Alligator mississippiensis: one gene and its partner. The protein of the gene in region 2 interacts with the protein of the main gene of each other region in a pairwise test. Links are inferred from orthologs where the notes say so. Each region holds a gene or a part of one and is shown on either strand. Other genes may lie near its edges.

What was found. The genes of interacting proteins can lie anywhere in the genome.
Region 1: the proteins of TNIK (region 2) and SPTBN1 interact in a two-hybrid assay, tested with the Homo sapiens proteins (2 studies listed by BioGRID and IntAct). The link is inferred for Alligator mississippiensis from reciprocal best matches to the Homo sapiens genes TNIK and SPTBN1.

Annotation. Positions count from the first base shown.
Region 1 is NC_081824.1:206,540,280-206,548,181, reverse strand, and holds the start of SPTBN1 (spectrin beta chain, non-erythrocytic 1), read right to left. Parts: upstream 3,020-7,902; 5' UTR 2,912-3,019; intron 1-2,911. UniProt on the Homo sapiens protein: Fodrin, which seems to be involved in secretion, interacts with calmodulin in a calcium-dependent manner and is thus candidate for the calcium-dependent movement of the cytoskeleton at the membrane.
Region 2 is NC_081830.1:75,557,391-75,564,438, reverse strand, and holds the start of TNIK (TRAF2 and NCK-interacting protein kinase), read left to right. Parts: upstream 1-4,039; 5' UTR 4,040-4,127; coding exon 4,128-4,184; intron 4,185-7,048. UniProt on the Homo sapiens protein: Serine/threonine kinase that acts as an essential activator of the Wnt signaling pathway. Recruited to promoters of Wnt target genes and required to activate their expression. May act by phosphorylating TCF4/TCF7L2.

The DNA.
Region 1 (7,902 bases), on a different chromosome or scaffold from region 2:
ACTTACTATTACAAAAATACTTGGTTCTATCAATTTTATTTAGCGTCTTCCCAATACTGGTTGTGACACATTACCAGCCAGCTAAGTACCATCAACTGTTGTTGCCATGTTATATCAGCATCTCGATAACCATTTTTTACATATTTTATCCAGAAAAGCTGGCTGATGAGGTTGTTAAACAGCAGAATAGAGTTTAGTAACAGTAACTAACTCCTTCATCACCTATTTCTCCTGATCAATAATACCATCGTAAGCTTGTATCTGAACCTTCGTGATACATGAAAAATCTTCTTCCAATCAGGTTTTTGCACCTGCCTGATGAGTCAAAATTCCTTGCAACACTTCTACATTGATCTTTCTTTAAATAAGGTAATGAATGCAAACTGCCTTAATCTTTAAAGCTATGGAAATACTATCCCCCAAGACGCCCTTATGAATGAATACATCTAAAGGTCAAAAATAATTTTGAAAAATAATCACCTAGCTAGGTAAAAAGACTTTTCAACATCCCCAGTCCTAACAGATCATAAATGTTGCATTTAATGCTTCAAACAATTTTATAAATGTAGACTATTTAGAATTATTTTAAATTAAAGGATATTCTTTGAATACTGATAATTAAAAACATATTTTTATGGACAATAGTTTTGATTTTGTGTAGACATTATCTATAAAGAAAGACCTCTTCCCTCCCTCTTCACTGTACATGTGCAAATTTCCTCGCAACTAGCAGACTGAAATGGTATTCACACTATATTCAATTGCTGATTCTGCTTTTGCATGCATGGCAGGCATCCAACAGATTAATATTTTATGCATTTAAAAAAAAAAATCAAAGATTTCTGACAAACAGCAGGTTGTCTTAACTAAAGAAGTCAGGCTTCAGTGCTATGGAAGATGGATTTGTCAGAGATACTGCAGTCTTGCAATATCGGGTATAAGGCTGCCATTTTTTTTGGTATTAAAGCAGGCCTACCCACATCTAACTACAACATCTCTGTGGAAAAGATAATGAAACCAAGTCCATTTATGATGTCCGTTCAATTGAATATTCAGTATCATCATTTCACAGCCATAAACACTTTCCATCCATTAAACAAAAAATAAAAAAAATAAAATAAAAAAATCAACCAACACCTCCGATGATTATTATTTTGGAATTTAACATGGTATTCATTTAAAAAATAAAAGGCAGGGATGTAATTCTTCAAACAACCAATGTTTCACATCTAAATATAGGAAACTGCATTCGGTAATACATCTGAAAGACAATGACACATTTAACTGGGGGGAACCCAATAACAGTAGACTTAATAAAGTGCTTCTGAAAGCAAAAAAGCAGAAAATCTCCACTCCCAAATCAGTTACTGTTATTGGAAAATGGGTATAAAGACTGCTGAGGTTTACTGTACCTTAAAGGCAGGAGGAAAAAACCAATACCTTCTCCTTCACAATGGGAAAGGGCACGTAACACCCGCCAGCCTGAACGAACCCAGCTGATGCACAAGTCTGGGTTTCAGTGGTGCATGCAGCATCTGCACACATTTGCCCCAGTCAGTCTAAAGGTGCACTCCTTCCTCTCCTTTACAATAACACTCTTCCTGCAACCCCTCCCTAATGCTGCTACTTTTGTAGTATCAGATTAATGCTCCACAGCCGCAGGCTGGACTCCATCTGACTGCATTAGAGCTGCAGAACTGCAATCATACAGCTCCCCACCGCCCCCCCCCATTACAGATTAGCAGCAAGCAAATTAAAAAAAACCCAGAAAACAGAAAGCCAGCAAACCCACCCAACATCTTGATGCAAAACTGCCATCTGCCTCTTCCTCACACACAGCCCCCCCCCCCCCCGGAACAACCTCCAAAGAAAAAAGATGCCCCCTAAAAGCTGAGAATGATGACAGGAAAAAAAAATTATGGGAAGAGGGCATTAAAAACCCAGACCCCAAGCAACCCAGCCAGTTGGGTGGGGTTTTTTGCTTAGTGCACAAGGGAGATCAGGATTCCTGTGAGATGTAGCCGGAGAGCACGGCATGAAGGGGGTCAGAGCACTGCATTGTGCTGCATCGCTTCGCCCAGACATCATGGAAGGAGCGGTGTGTCGCACAGGAGCACCCCAGCTCCGCCAGGGGACACACACACACACTTCAATAAACCCCACACCTCAGACAGGCACAGACACCCCCCCCCAGTAGCCCCCATACCTCCCCATACACCCCCCCACCCCAACACACACACTAACCCCCCCGTAACTCACTTACCTCCCCACACACCCCCCACCCCGACACACACACACTTTTGAATAAGCCTCCCCAATAACCCCCATGCCTTCCCCCCATGCCCCAGCAATTACATACACACACACATACTTCAATAGCCCCCCAAGCCTCAGGCAACCTCCACCCCCAATAACTACCACAGCCCCCACCTAACACACACACACACACACACAATAAAACCCACCCCTCAGACACAACATCCCCAGTAACCCCCATGCACCCCACCCCAACACACACACACACCCCAGTATCCCCCATACCCCCAGCTCCCTTCTCCTCATGCCCCGCCTTGGGGACCCCCACCCCAAGTGCGGCTTGCAGCGCGCAGAGGCCCCCCGGCCCGGGCTGGATGCACAAACCTGTTGCGGTGCCGGGCGGAACACACACACACACACACCATCCCCCCCCGCACACTGCCCGCAACGGGCAGAGCCGGGCCCGGCCACGCCTGTTTGCATCCCTGCACCGCCGGCTGCGGCGCCCCCGCTGCCACCCCCAGGCCCGGGGGACACCCCCCGCGCCAGCACCATGACGGAGCAAGACACTGCAAACCCAGCGTCCATTGCACGAGCCCCCCGCGCCTCCCTCCCTCCCGGGGCCTCGTGCAGGCGGGTCCCCGCGCACCCCTACCTCGCCTCGCTGGGGCTGCGCTGCTTGGCGGCGGCGGCAGGCGGGGGCGATGCAGATGCAGCAGCAGCTCGGCGCGGCCAGAGGCGGGAGGAGGGCGCGGCGCAGCCCGCAGCCGCCTGCCCCCGCGCAACCCGCACGCAGCAGCGGCACTGATTGAGGGGCGGGGACGGCGGCGGGCCCGCCCCGTGCAGCCTCTAGCCCGCGCGCGGGTGGCGGCTTGGCTCGGCTCGGCTCGGTTCGGGCGCAGGTGCACGGGCATGGATCTGGCAGAGCCTGGGCCCGGCCTCTCACACCAGCTCCCCCCCACCAGCCTTTCTGTGACACCCCCCTCCCCTAGTGCCGCTGATTTTTAGGGGCCGCTCATGTCCCCTGCTGCGGCGCCTCTGCTCTACTCGGGCCGCTTTGCCCATGTAACCAACCCCTGGCGAGACCCCCCCTGCCTGCCCCTCCTCTCCCTTCGGCCCTGCTCTCCTGCTGCTCTGAGTGGCTTGTGACTCGTGAGTTGTGCCGTCTTCCTAGCTAAATGCGCCTCCAGGCTCCGCAGTTCAATCCCGGGTGCCTTTTTGACTAATTTCTCTAACCATCTCCTCCCATCTCCACTTGTCTCTCTGCCCAGGGGCCTTTCAAGAGACAACTCACATGCAATACAGCCTTTCCTCCTTCTCTATCCTCCTCTACCCCCTGTCAAAGAGACACTTTCCTCCTCTTGCCTCTTTTCCATGAGACCTAGTAACCCTATCCCATGCCCCCAAATCTTATTATACCCTCTCCCTCACTCTTCTCCTTAACCTCTTTATTTTCCTCTCCCTGCCACAACAAAGCAGCTTTCACCTGTCGCCCTTGACTCCAGTCAGTCCCCGCCACTACAGTTCCATCTCCTTCATGTTATTCATCTCTCAGCTCTTTGTACGTGCTGTTTTCACACCTTGTCCTTAGTTTTTCCTCCAGCTCCATCCTAGACCCACTCCATCCTAGTTTCAACCTGTACACTCAGATGAAACGGGTTTTGCCAGTTTGGAATGAGTTCTTCCTGGCCACATCTCAGAACAACACTCCAGTCTCGTCCTCCTTCCATACCATCAATTGGGCTTTTTCCTGTTGACATCTTGTCCTCCCTTAGTTTGCATGACTCATCTACTGCTTCTTTTCCTCCCTCTCTCCATCATGTCCTTTGGAGGATCCCCACATCTCCCCCTCCAACCTTATGTGGCAGTTTTAAAAGGCACTGCCTTTGGTCCCTTTCTCTTTCTCTCTTCATCTTATCTCAGGGTGACTTCAACCATAAACACAAATTTGACTCCCATAGCTTTGCAGGCAACTCACAGATCTCACCCTCTATTCTAGACCTGTCTTCTGTTGTTCATCCTTCGCAAGCGAAGATGAGGAAAAAGGAGAAAGAAGAGAGGAAAGAGAGAGGAGGATAGGTTGCGTGAGTATGCAGGTGACATATAAGCCCAATCATTGCCCTGAACGATTTGCTGCAGCAGGGGCAGGACAGCGACAAGGACTGGACACAAGAGGTCCTCGATTTCCTGGCCACACGTTTCCTCACTGCCTCCGCCATGCGCCGCTCTGGACCAATGACCTCCAGGATAGACAGTCGCAAGTGATTTGAACCCACAACTCCAGGTCGATGCTGAAACTCTTCAAGGACACCTTCTTTGGTGCACTGCAAAAGTGTACTCCATTTGACAGTTCACCATAGAAGATTTTCTTCAGCAGGCGAGTGTCGGTCATTCTTGAAAGGTGGCCGGCCCATCTTAGCTGTGCCAGTTTCAGTAGCGTGTGGATATTGGGGAGAGCTGATCTTCTGAGCACCTTAGTGTCCAGAATCTTGTCCTTCCACTTGATCTTTAGTATCTTTTACAGGCAGCAGAAGTGGAAGTGGTTTAGTTTCTTGACATGACTGGTAGATGGTCCAGGTTTTGCAGGCATAAAGGAGGTTCGGGGGAATGATGGCTTTGTAGACCTTCTGTTTCATGAACGTTCTGATGCCTCTGCTCAAAGTAAAATGTCAGAGTATGTCTACACTGCCTCTCTCTCTTCTCCAGGCTGCTGCTGCTGAAATAAAAGTTCCTCCAATGTGGTTCCACTTGGTAGCACCAGAACACAGGCTGTCAGGGTGCTCTGGGGGACCACCCACCATGGCTCTTGAGCCAGAGAGACATGGAGAATGGCAGTGAGAGATAAAGAGTCCTCACTGCCTCAGGGGCAAGTTTGCAGCATGCAGAATGAGAATAGGTAGACAGGCCACCTTTTTGGAAGCAGTCTGAAAAGTATCACAATGACAATGTAGACAGGCCATCCATCCTTGTAGATGCCTAACCTTTCGTTCAAGTTGAACACGGCTGAAACATGACTTTTACTCTTCACACCCCCCCCAGAAGGATAGGTGCCCACAAACTCCTTACTTGATCAGTGTGGGCAATATCGCTATCTTGCCTGTCACTCAGGCTTTTTAATCAGGGCATCATTTCCAACTCAGATTTCACTCTGGGTCCTCACACACAGGCTACAGCTAAGCTCTAATCTTTCATTATTCATCCACACAATTAAAACTCATGTCCAAGCTCTCTTTGTCTCACCAATCATTTCAATGGACTGCAACATCCCATTTTCTGGCTTTGACAATGCAAACTTTCCCATATCCATCCATTTTGTTGCTGCAAAAATAATTTTCCTAGCCTACCACTTTGCACCATGTCACCTCTTCCTTTACCGGCTTCCCTTGGCTTATACTTCTCTATCACATTAGGCATAACCTACTCATAATTTTCAAGGCCTTCTATGACACACCCTGCCTCTCCATCGTCTCTCATTCAGTTTCCAGAGGTTGACTCCTGCCTCCGATGCCAGTCCATGACACTTGCCTCTATAGCCTCCTTGTTAGGTTTTCAAATAAGCACTTTCATGCTTCTCCCATGCTACCCTTCATGCTTCAGAGAAGCTCCCTCTAAGCATCTCAGAAGTTCTCAGAAGTGCTTCATTACTCTCCTTTATTCTCTCCTCAAAACTTCCTTTTGCCACAAGGCCTACAGAAAACTTGACTACAGTTAAGCTGTAAATCTGCTGAGACTACTGTGCATGATGTTGACTGGTATTGTCTCCTTGTGCTTGTCAGTCTATTCACCTGTTGCCTCATGTTTTATTCTTAGGCTGTGAGCTTCTTAGGGTGGGGGCTGTCTTTTAGTTCTTTTTTGGCAAGCACTTGCCACAATGGGGACCATATCCATGATTAACAATCCTAGCTCTTATGATCATATAAACAATAATTATGGTGATAATAAGGGTTACTATGTAAGCGATAGTAAACCAAACTTACAAACTTATTAGCTGTTCTTATAATGAAGAATAGGACATATGCATCAAGGAAACAGCATTTTAGAAGTTTGCATATATAGAAAAGCAACCAAACAAAATAAGCCATAAAGTTGACAAACCAAATTATTCCACTCTTCCCAACCATCAATAGAACCTAATTTTCCATATCGGCATACTGCAATTAACATCTGTTCCCACAGGGAAAAAGACTACTCAATATGAGTAGGTTGGCAGAATTTAATCCAAGTCATTTGAAAAGTTCTACAGGAAAGATAGCTTTCCAATCTAGATTTTCTTTAATACAAGGACTAAATATTATGATATTTCTAAAAATAAAATTCCCATCATCTCAGTGAGAGATTTGCCAAAGGAGGGTAAAGGCCAAATATTTGACCCTGAATAAAGGCACACAAGTGTCCAAGCATCTGTTGTAGAGCACATTGCACTCTGTTTACATGGATAAAACTTCCCAGATTTAAGTAAGCCTGCCCCAAATTTTGTATTAGTGTGGGAAGCATTGCTTAAATTACTCTGATCATCAATAACAGTAATTCAAAGACTTAAATAAAGGCAGAATAATGTATTTTGTTTGCCAGTAATTTTAATATGGAAGTTTTTTCTCAAGATTAGTTTGCAGCTAAGTTAAATTTCCTTTCTGAAAAACAACCTTGTTTAGTTGTTAGGAATTTCTACCATGCTCGTTTCATATTACCAGCCTGGTAACAGTTCCTTTAATGCAACATCTCTTTGTTTTGTAGCCCTTTAAGCTTAGAGGGGTATGATAAATGTGAAATATAGGATTGGGGGAGTCTGTGGTTTTTGCATTATTACTGTATTTTTTTCTTTTTATCAAGGTTAGATAACTAATATCCCTTTGTCAGGCATTAGCATGAATCCAGTCATTTGGATTTTGTTCAGCAATTCATAAAGTATAGATTTTAGTCAGCAAATCTTGTGTGATAAAACATCTCAAGCTTAATAAGGAGGTGTAATAGTGCTTTGCCATTGTGCCTACTACATTGTTTAAGGAGAAGAGATTAAAATTTTAGTATTGTTGTATTTCTCATATTATATATAATATGAGAAATACAACATTAACATTTCTCATATATGAGAAATACAACAATAATTACTTACTAAAATAAAAATAATAAAATCCTTACATTTGAGCGCGCGCACACACACACATATATATAATATGTGCTCAAGTGTAAGGATTTTATTATTACAGATTAGAAAGAACATTGGAAAAATTCCATGCTTCACCCAACTATTAATATCTCCTGTGCAAGTAGGCAGGGGAAGAAAAAAAGATGCCAAATGTATGGGAGAGAGTAGGCAGGGACATCCAACATATTTTAAGATTCTGGCTGTCTTAACCTACATAGCTCAAACAAGGGTGGGCCAAAGATTATTGTGGAAATAACTAGCTGGAATGAACGCCTGTGATCTGCAAGAACCAGAATAACAGCACTACTGTGGGCTCCTGCCAGTTATACCAGTCATTAACATTTGTTTCCTTCCTTCAGCTGCTTGGATTTAAGTAAATCATGCAATAGCTAAATATAGATTTTGTTCTGATTTTTTAAATTAAGTGTTACCTTTTTGCAAGAGAAACATATGTTTTCATAAATGTAAACATTTTTATGGTTTAGTGTGAATATCCCCTT
Region 2 (7,048 bases):
ACAGCCTCTGTGCCCATACCTGCCCCCTTCTACAGCCTTGGACCCCCTACCCCTCTTTCCCTGCTCTCTCCCCCTGCAACCTCTACCCCCACCCCCCCAATCCACTTCTCCTCAGCTGCTTATCCTTGCTTCGCTCCAGGAGACCTGGTGCATGGAGCACAGCTCTATTCACACCTGGTAGCAATGGTGGTAGTGTGGTAACTCTGGACCCAGCTCCAGCTGGAGCTGCTAACTGGACTAGACTGGGGCTGAGCTTCTTGTGCCAGGCTGGAATGGGGCCAGAATCTGCTGGAGCAGAGCAAGGGTATGCAGTGGAATTGGGGTAGGTAGGCAAGTAGAGGAGGTGGGGGAGTAAAGCTGGTGGGTGACAGGTGGTAGCTGTTGGGCTGGAGTCAGACGCACAGCAGCTGCCTGCCCCCAAACTGGCACAGACTTGAATCCAACTTGAGACCTTTTTTCCCCATGTAAAATGGGGGATAAAACCTCATTTTGGGCTTGACCAAATACAATAATTCTTTATGAAAACATGAAACCTTTCGGTGATACACAGGGCTTCAAATGGAGTTACCTCATCGATATATGGCCTAGCAAGCACTTAGGTGCTTCCATCAAGCAGATGAGAGAAATAATGGAATTACTTTTGACAGAGGTACATATAACAAAACTTGGATCTTGTCTGTTAGAGGCAGGTTGTGGTTAATGGCATCTATCTGGTTGTGAAGAGACTTGTCTAGATGGCTACAAAAAGCCCGTTTTAACTTCTTGCTCCCTGTTGGAGACCCCTTAGACAAGTTTTGGCACTACTGCTGGGAATGAGAGTTGTTCTAGCCAGAGACTTCAAGGTCATCCTCCCAGCAAGGTAACACCCACAGTTTTTGCTTCGGGCTGCATGCGGACTCAGTAATAAAGGGTATCAGGGAACATTCAAACATTTTTCTTTATAATCATTGGGGCTAGGTTTGGTAATAATGCATAGTTAGCTTTGAACATGGCATGGAGGAACTCATGTGATAAGCAAATAAGGCTCATGCAGAAATCCTGCACTGCAGCCTCTCAGTATTGGTTTGGATACCATAGTTTTGCAAAAATTAGAAACGGTAAACAACAACACATTGACAAGAGGATCTATATGTGAGAGTAAAGCACCCAGATTGTCCTCCAGCTACTTTGCAAATCTCCAGTGAAAGCTCACATTGGCGTAAGAGGGGATAGCAATCCAAAAGTGATGATGAATCAATTAAAATGCATTTGCGAAGATCAATAGATGCGGGTTGGACACAAGTAGCCATTAATTTCTGAGTATCTTCTAACACAGCTGCAGCAGTAATCATGTTAGCTTGAAATCCAATTATTATGCATTTAATAGAGTATTAATATTTAAACACACTTTAGTGTGTTTAGGCAGTGCCTTTTAACTGCTGTATCCATGTAAAAGCACTGGTCCCTAGCCTCAGCTGGAGTAAATCAGCTGGAAATCAGTAGCAAAATGCCACTTTACACCAGCTGTAATTGTGAGCTAATGGACATAGAAACAGGTGAACCAAGTATGTGGGGAAAGAGGAGCACTGGACAACACAGTCACATGTCCACTATGGTGCATCACACAGCCAAAGGGGAGTCCACTCAGTGTCATCAGAGATGTAATCCTTCTGTGGCTAAGCAATAGGACTGAACAGGGGCCCTAAATTTGAAGAAATACACCATAAAGGGAAAGTGTAGTTTAATGTTGCACTGACCCATCTTAGGTCCAGTTACTGAACTAAAATTCTCCAGTTCAGATCAGCCTGACTTTAAATTAATTTTTGTGAGTAGATTTTTATGGACAGAAAATAATAATAATAAAAACCCAAAATGGTAAAATCAAAATTCTCCCTTGAAAAAATGAAATTTTGTAGAAACTTCCTTTTCCATTGAAAATATCATTCCTTACTATCCTGACTAGTTTATGCTTCCATTTCTACCAGGAAGGTCTGTGCAGCATAGAGACAACACCCAGAAATTTGAAGATTATAACATAGTCACATATCCTTACCCATACACTAATGGTGAAGTAATTTTTGTAAATCAGCCTTATTGACACACGTTTACTGGACCAGGAACTGCCATTTTTGCATACTGAAGTACTTTGAAGCAATTGGAATTTTTTACTCCATTGCCCCTATAACCTACTATAATGTACTATATTTATGACATTACTGATATATATATCTATATATAGATATATAGATATATATATATATCTATATATAGATATATATACTGTCTTCAAGGACTAATTAAAGGCCCCAAATGAAGTAACTCCTATCCTGGGCACTTCATATGGATGTAGAGATCCATGATAATCTGTCCATTTGTAAGACTGGGGCCTATCATTTTAAAAGAAAGAAATCTCTCATTTCCACACCTGTTTTTACAAATGACACCTTCCTTGCCTTTTAAATGGAAAAGCTATTAGAAAAACACATTCTCACTTTCTGCTCAGCTTATTCTTTTTCATTCCCCACCCCCTTGAAAAAATTATAGCAGCACTGCCGCAGTCACATTTCTTTGTCACTAGCTTCTAGCTACTTTTGCTTTCAGGTCTATATGTATTATCACAATATTGCAATGTCTGGGTTGCAACCGCTGCAGACAACATTTGTACATCAAAGCGTTCCAGTCCATTGTTAAAAAAAAAATGAGAGAGAGACTTGGAAATAATTTGCTTGCTCCTTGCTTGTATTTAAGTGTTTATTCAAGACTGTAGAATGTAAAATTCAAGATTTCGGGCAAATATAATCTTTCGAATGTCAGGAAGTTTTAATTGCTCTACCACATATTAATGCCTCTGGATTTGTTATACTGAAGACAGTGATGTGTTTGTCACCCTGCATCACCTCATGCTTTCCATCCACTTCTGCATGTTTCATTTACCTGCAATACTTAGTCACCTGGAAAAAATACCTTCTGCCTTGTACGTGGAATTTTGTATGGGGCAATGCTGCAACTTCCACTATTGTATAATGGTGCTGTTGCTCCATTTCTCACCATGTATCAGGAACTCGGTGATCAGCACTCTTAATAATAAGGTTCAGCTCCAGATCTTTGAACCTACCTCCTGGCAGGCTTAGTTAGCATGTGCAGATAGCCATGGTACTTTGAACACAGGGCATACGGCAGAGTTGGGCAATGAACTCCCTCTAGTTCTGCAACTGGTTTAAGACAGCCTGTTGCTGATGAGGAAATGTCAGCAGCTTGACTCTGTTTTGCAAGGCCAGTCTCTTCTGCAGCCTGCTTCTACCAAATTGCTCAGATAATAAATGTGCTGTGTCTCAGACTACCAGCTTTTTATGAAAAAGTTGCAGCAGTCAAGTGGCCCTATCGACTGTAGGATTATTTGCAATTAAAAAAAAAGAGCATCTCAATCCATGCATACAAAAAAATCCTGCCTCTCTCTGCAGGAGACAAGTGTGTTAGGGTTATGTTTCTACTTCTCCACTCTGCGTGTTGCGAGATCCCGTCACACACCTGCGAGATCGGATAACGGACCCCACTGTGCTCCCCCTGAAGCGAGAAATGGTATCAGGAAGACCAGACCCGGTGCTTGAGAGACCGCTCCTGAATAAGGAATAACAAATGAGGACAAAGAGAAAACCGGGTCCCCTGGAAACGGAGGGATGCTTCTTCCCAAACCCAACACCTGTGTGCGCTGCTCCTCTACCAAAGCAGCCCAAATCCAGATTGCAAGACCGTGCCGAGCCAGGGCAATCCTAGATGTAGCTCTTAGAGGATCAACTCCTGGTTGGACTTCCCACCCCCTAATTCCCCAGCCTGGCCGGAGACCGACGGCCGGCCCCGCTCTGCGTCCTCATGCCCCTAGTGCCAGCGCCCGCGCCCGCAGCCCGGCAGGGCAGGGGCAAGTCAAGCCTCGCTTCTCCGCGGGGGGAGGGGAGAAGGGGGCGGGGCGCGCTGCACTTGTTCCCGGGGCCGGGCAGGGAGGCCCCGCCCCCTCCTGTTTAGCACCGCCCCCTCCACCCCCCCACTCCGGAGCGGCGGCGGCGCGTGCGCGTGTGCGGGCGGGCGGCCGTGGAGAGGAGGCGGCGGCAGCGGCGGCGGAGGTCCCGCGGCGCCCGGCGAGCTGAGGCAACATGGCGAGCGACTCCCCGGCTCGCAGCCTGGACGAGATCGATCTCTCCGCCCTGCGGGTGAGTGCTCGCCCCCGGCCCGCGGGTCCTCTGCCTTCCTGGGGTGGGGGGTGAGGTGGATGATGGTGTGAGGTGAACGGTGTGTGTAAGACAAGTAGTGATGGGTGTGTGCGCGTGGGGGGCGGTGTGCACAGGACTGATGCTCCCGCAGGAGGGGAAGGAGACGGGGCTGCGATGTCCCCGGGGTGCAGTGGCGGGGGGTGTCTTCAGCAGGACGGTCTCCGGGGGGTGCGCCTGGGTCTTCAGGGGGAAGCGCGAGGCCCCCCAGCCCCATGGCTGCTGCAGCCCGGGTGCGGCATGGCTGTGGCATAGAGGTGCCCCCTTGGAGCAGCGGTGGCTGCCGTGCTCCTTTCGTCGATGCAGCGCTGTGCTCCGCGCATCCATCCCCCTTGGGTGCCTGCTCTTCAGTTGCCTTTGCACAGGCTCAGGCTGAGCTGTCTTTTTGTCGGTTTTTTTTTTTGTTCCCCCCGCCCTAGCTCAGGGGCATCTGGAGAGCGCCCTCTTTGCCCTTCCAATGCAAGTGGGTTTGTCTTTTGTTTGTTTTTTCCCCCTCTACCTGAGGGAGCCCTGCGTTGAAAACAAAAACCCGTAGCGCAGAGAGGATGTGGCTCTTTTTGTCCTCGGATGCAGCGTCTCTTTACAGTAGCAGCTCCCCCGCCGGTCTGCTTGCGCTTCCCTGCCGACTGCCTTGGCCGCCGTGGGGCCAGAGGGGTTGAGTCCATCTTGATGTGATTTTTATTTTTTTGCTGTGAAATTTGGACATTGCAAGCTGGGGATGTTTGCCCCCATTTCTGCCGCCCCCCAATCACCACCATCTTCAGTCCTTTCCAGGGAATGGGCATATGCCTCCTTGCCCTTTTCATCAGGCATCACCCTGCCTCCTCAGGCTTGGTTTAAGCATATATGCTTAATAGCGATGCACGTGTGTGTGACTACACACTACACATGTACTGAATCTAGGAACACTGATGTGGGTTGGTTCACACCCTGTGGAGCACATTGTTGCACACTGATGCTGAGCCCCGGAGTATTTTGTTTTCTTGCCTCTTCATTTGCTGTCATCAGCCAGCCTTGCTCTTTTCTCCCACGCTTCTTCTAAGTAAGACTCTTATTTGTATTTACAATAAACCAGAAATGTATATGGTACATCAAAGATGGCAGCCAGTGTTTTTGTATTGTGATGTGTCTCTTTCTCCCCCTGTTTCTATAATTCCCTCCCCCCCACCTTTTTCATCTATTGCTGGTTTCGGCTATCCACTACTGGAGTCCTTTAGGGGAGTAGTGTTTAATCTGGACGTGGCTGCTGAAACGTTGTCTGAAGGAGCCTTCCTTTATTACAGCAAGACTGCGTACACCTTGCTGGTACAGGTGTTTAAGAAAAATAAAATCAAGTGATGCCCACTGAAGACTTCCAAGACTGTTGTGTGGTTTTGTTTTGTTTTGTTTTGTTTGTTGGGGTTTTTTTGTTTTGTTTTGTTTTTTTACAAATAATGTTTGCTTCAAGGCAAACCCAAAAAGATGCCCGTCTTATTCACATGCCCTACTTTTCTTTCTGCTTAGTTCCTGGCTCATTAATAGTGTAAACCAGTGGTTTTCAACCTAGACCCCCGGGGGGTCTGCAGACTATGGTCACAGTCATCTTTTGCAGACCCCTTAGACAATCAAAAAGTATATGAATACATAGACTTACCATTCAAGGGGGTCTGCACCTCTATTCAGAAATTTTTAGGGATCTGCACATGAAGAGAGGTTGAAAACCACTGGTGTAAACAATTGCTCCACAGTTGCAGGTGTGGACAGGATGAGGAATATGGAGGTCCTTCATGTTTAAAAACAAACATTCAATTCTAGTTCACCTCCCCTGCCTCAGTATCTCAGGAGAAATGTCAGTCAATGGAATTAATAGCCCTATAAAGCAAACATCTTGGAGCATCAGCCCCTACATGTTGGATTTTGTTTTGGGAACAGCAGCAGTTGAATTTTCTTAATGCCCGTAACAACCAGTCTTAAAATAACATCCCTGCTTTTTGTTTTTAAGGTATCTGTGTTCATGCAGATGGAGCTTTTTATTATTATTTATTTTTTCTCCATGGACTATACCCAAAGCAAGTCTGAATTGTCTGTCAGTGCAAATACAAATTAGAAATCCTCGACTGTAACTGCATTTGTTATGATTCCCCCATGTGCTTCTTTATCGTGGAACCCTAGGCTTGGAAAGATCTTGGTGGTCATTTAATGCAGGATGTGTTTATTCCTAAACCATCCAGGACCAATGCCTTTCCAGCCTCTTTTTTTTTTTTTTTTAAGTCTCCCATGAAGGAGATTCCACATGTTATCCAGGGAGCTTGTCCTAGCTGTGCCCCATGCCCCTAAAAGTAGTCTTATGAACTGGATCAACCATGGGATCAAGTGGCCTTCTTTGCTGGTAGATATACCTCAACAGACGCTAGATGTTGTGTCCATTTTATGGTGTCAGTATTCAGTGGTGGGGGCAGGAGGACCGTGGAGAATACAAAACACGCTTTGTGTATCTTCGTGTACTAAACTGAAGGGAATTTGTTCAGAGCTCCCAAAACAGTGACAGATCATATTGGAGAGAGCCCCATTTGCATCTAGTACATCAGATAAATTGTTCAAGAGCTGTCGATCTTTGTAATCACTTGACCTTCTGTAATGCTTCAAGGTCAGCAGGGCTTTGGGTGGGCTGCCGCACTGACTTGCGGTAACCCCAGGCAGCTGTAGTCTAACTTTGTGCTCTTTACACCTGCGGGTCAGCGTTGGCTCACTTGGGCTTTCATGTCTCTTCTACACTGAAAATGGTAAACACTTCCTAGATAGAGACAAAGCCCTAAGAGGGAGAATCT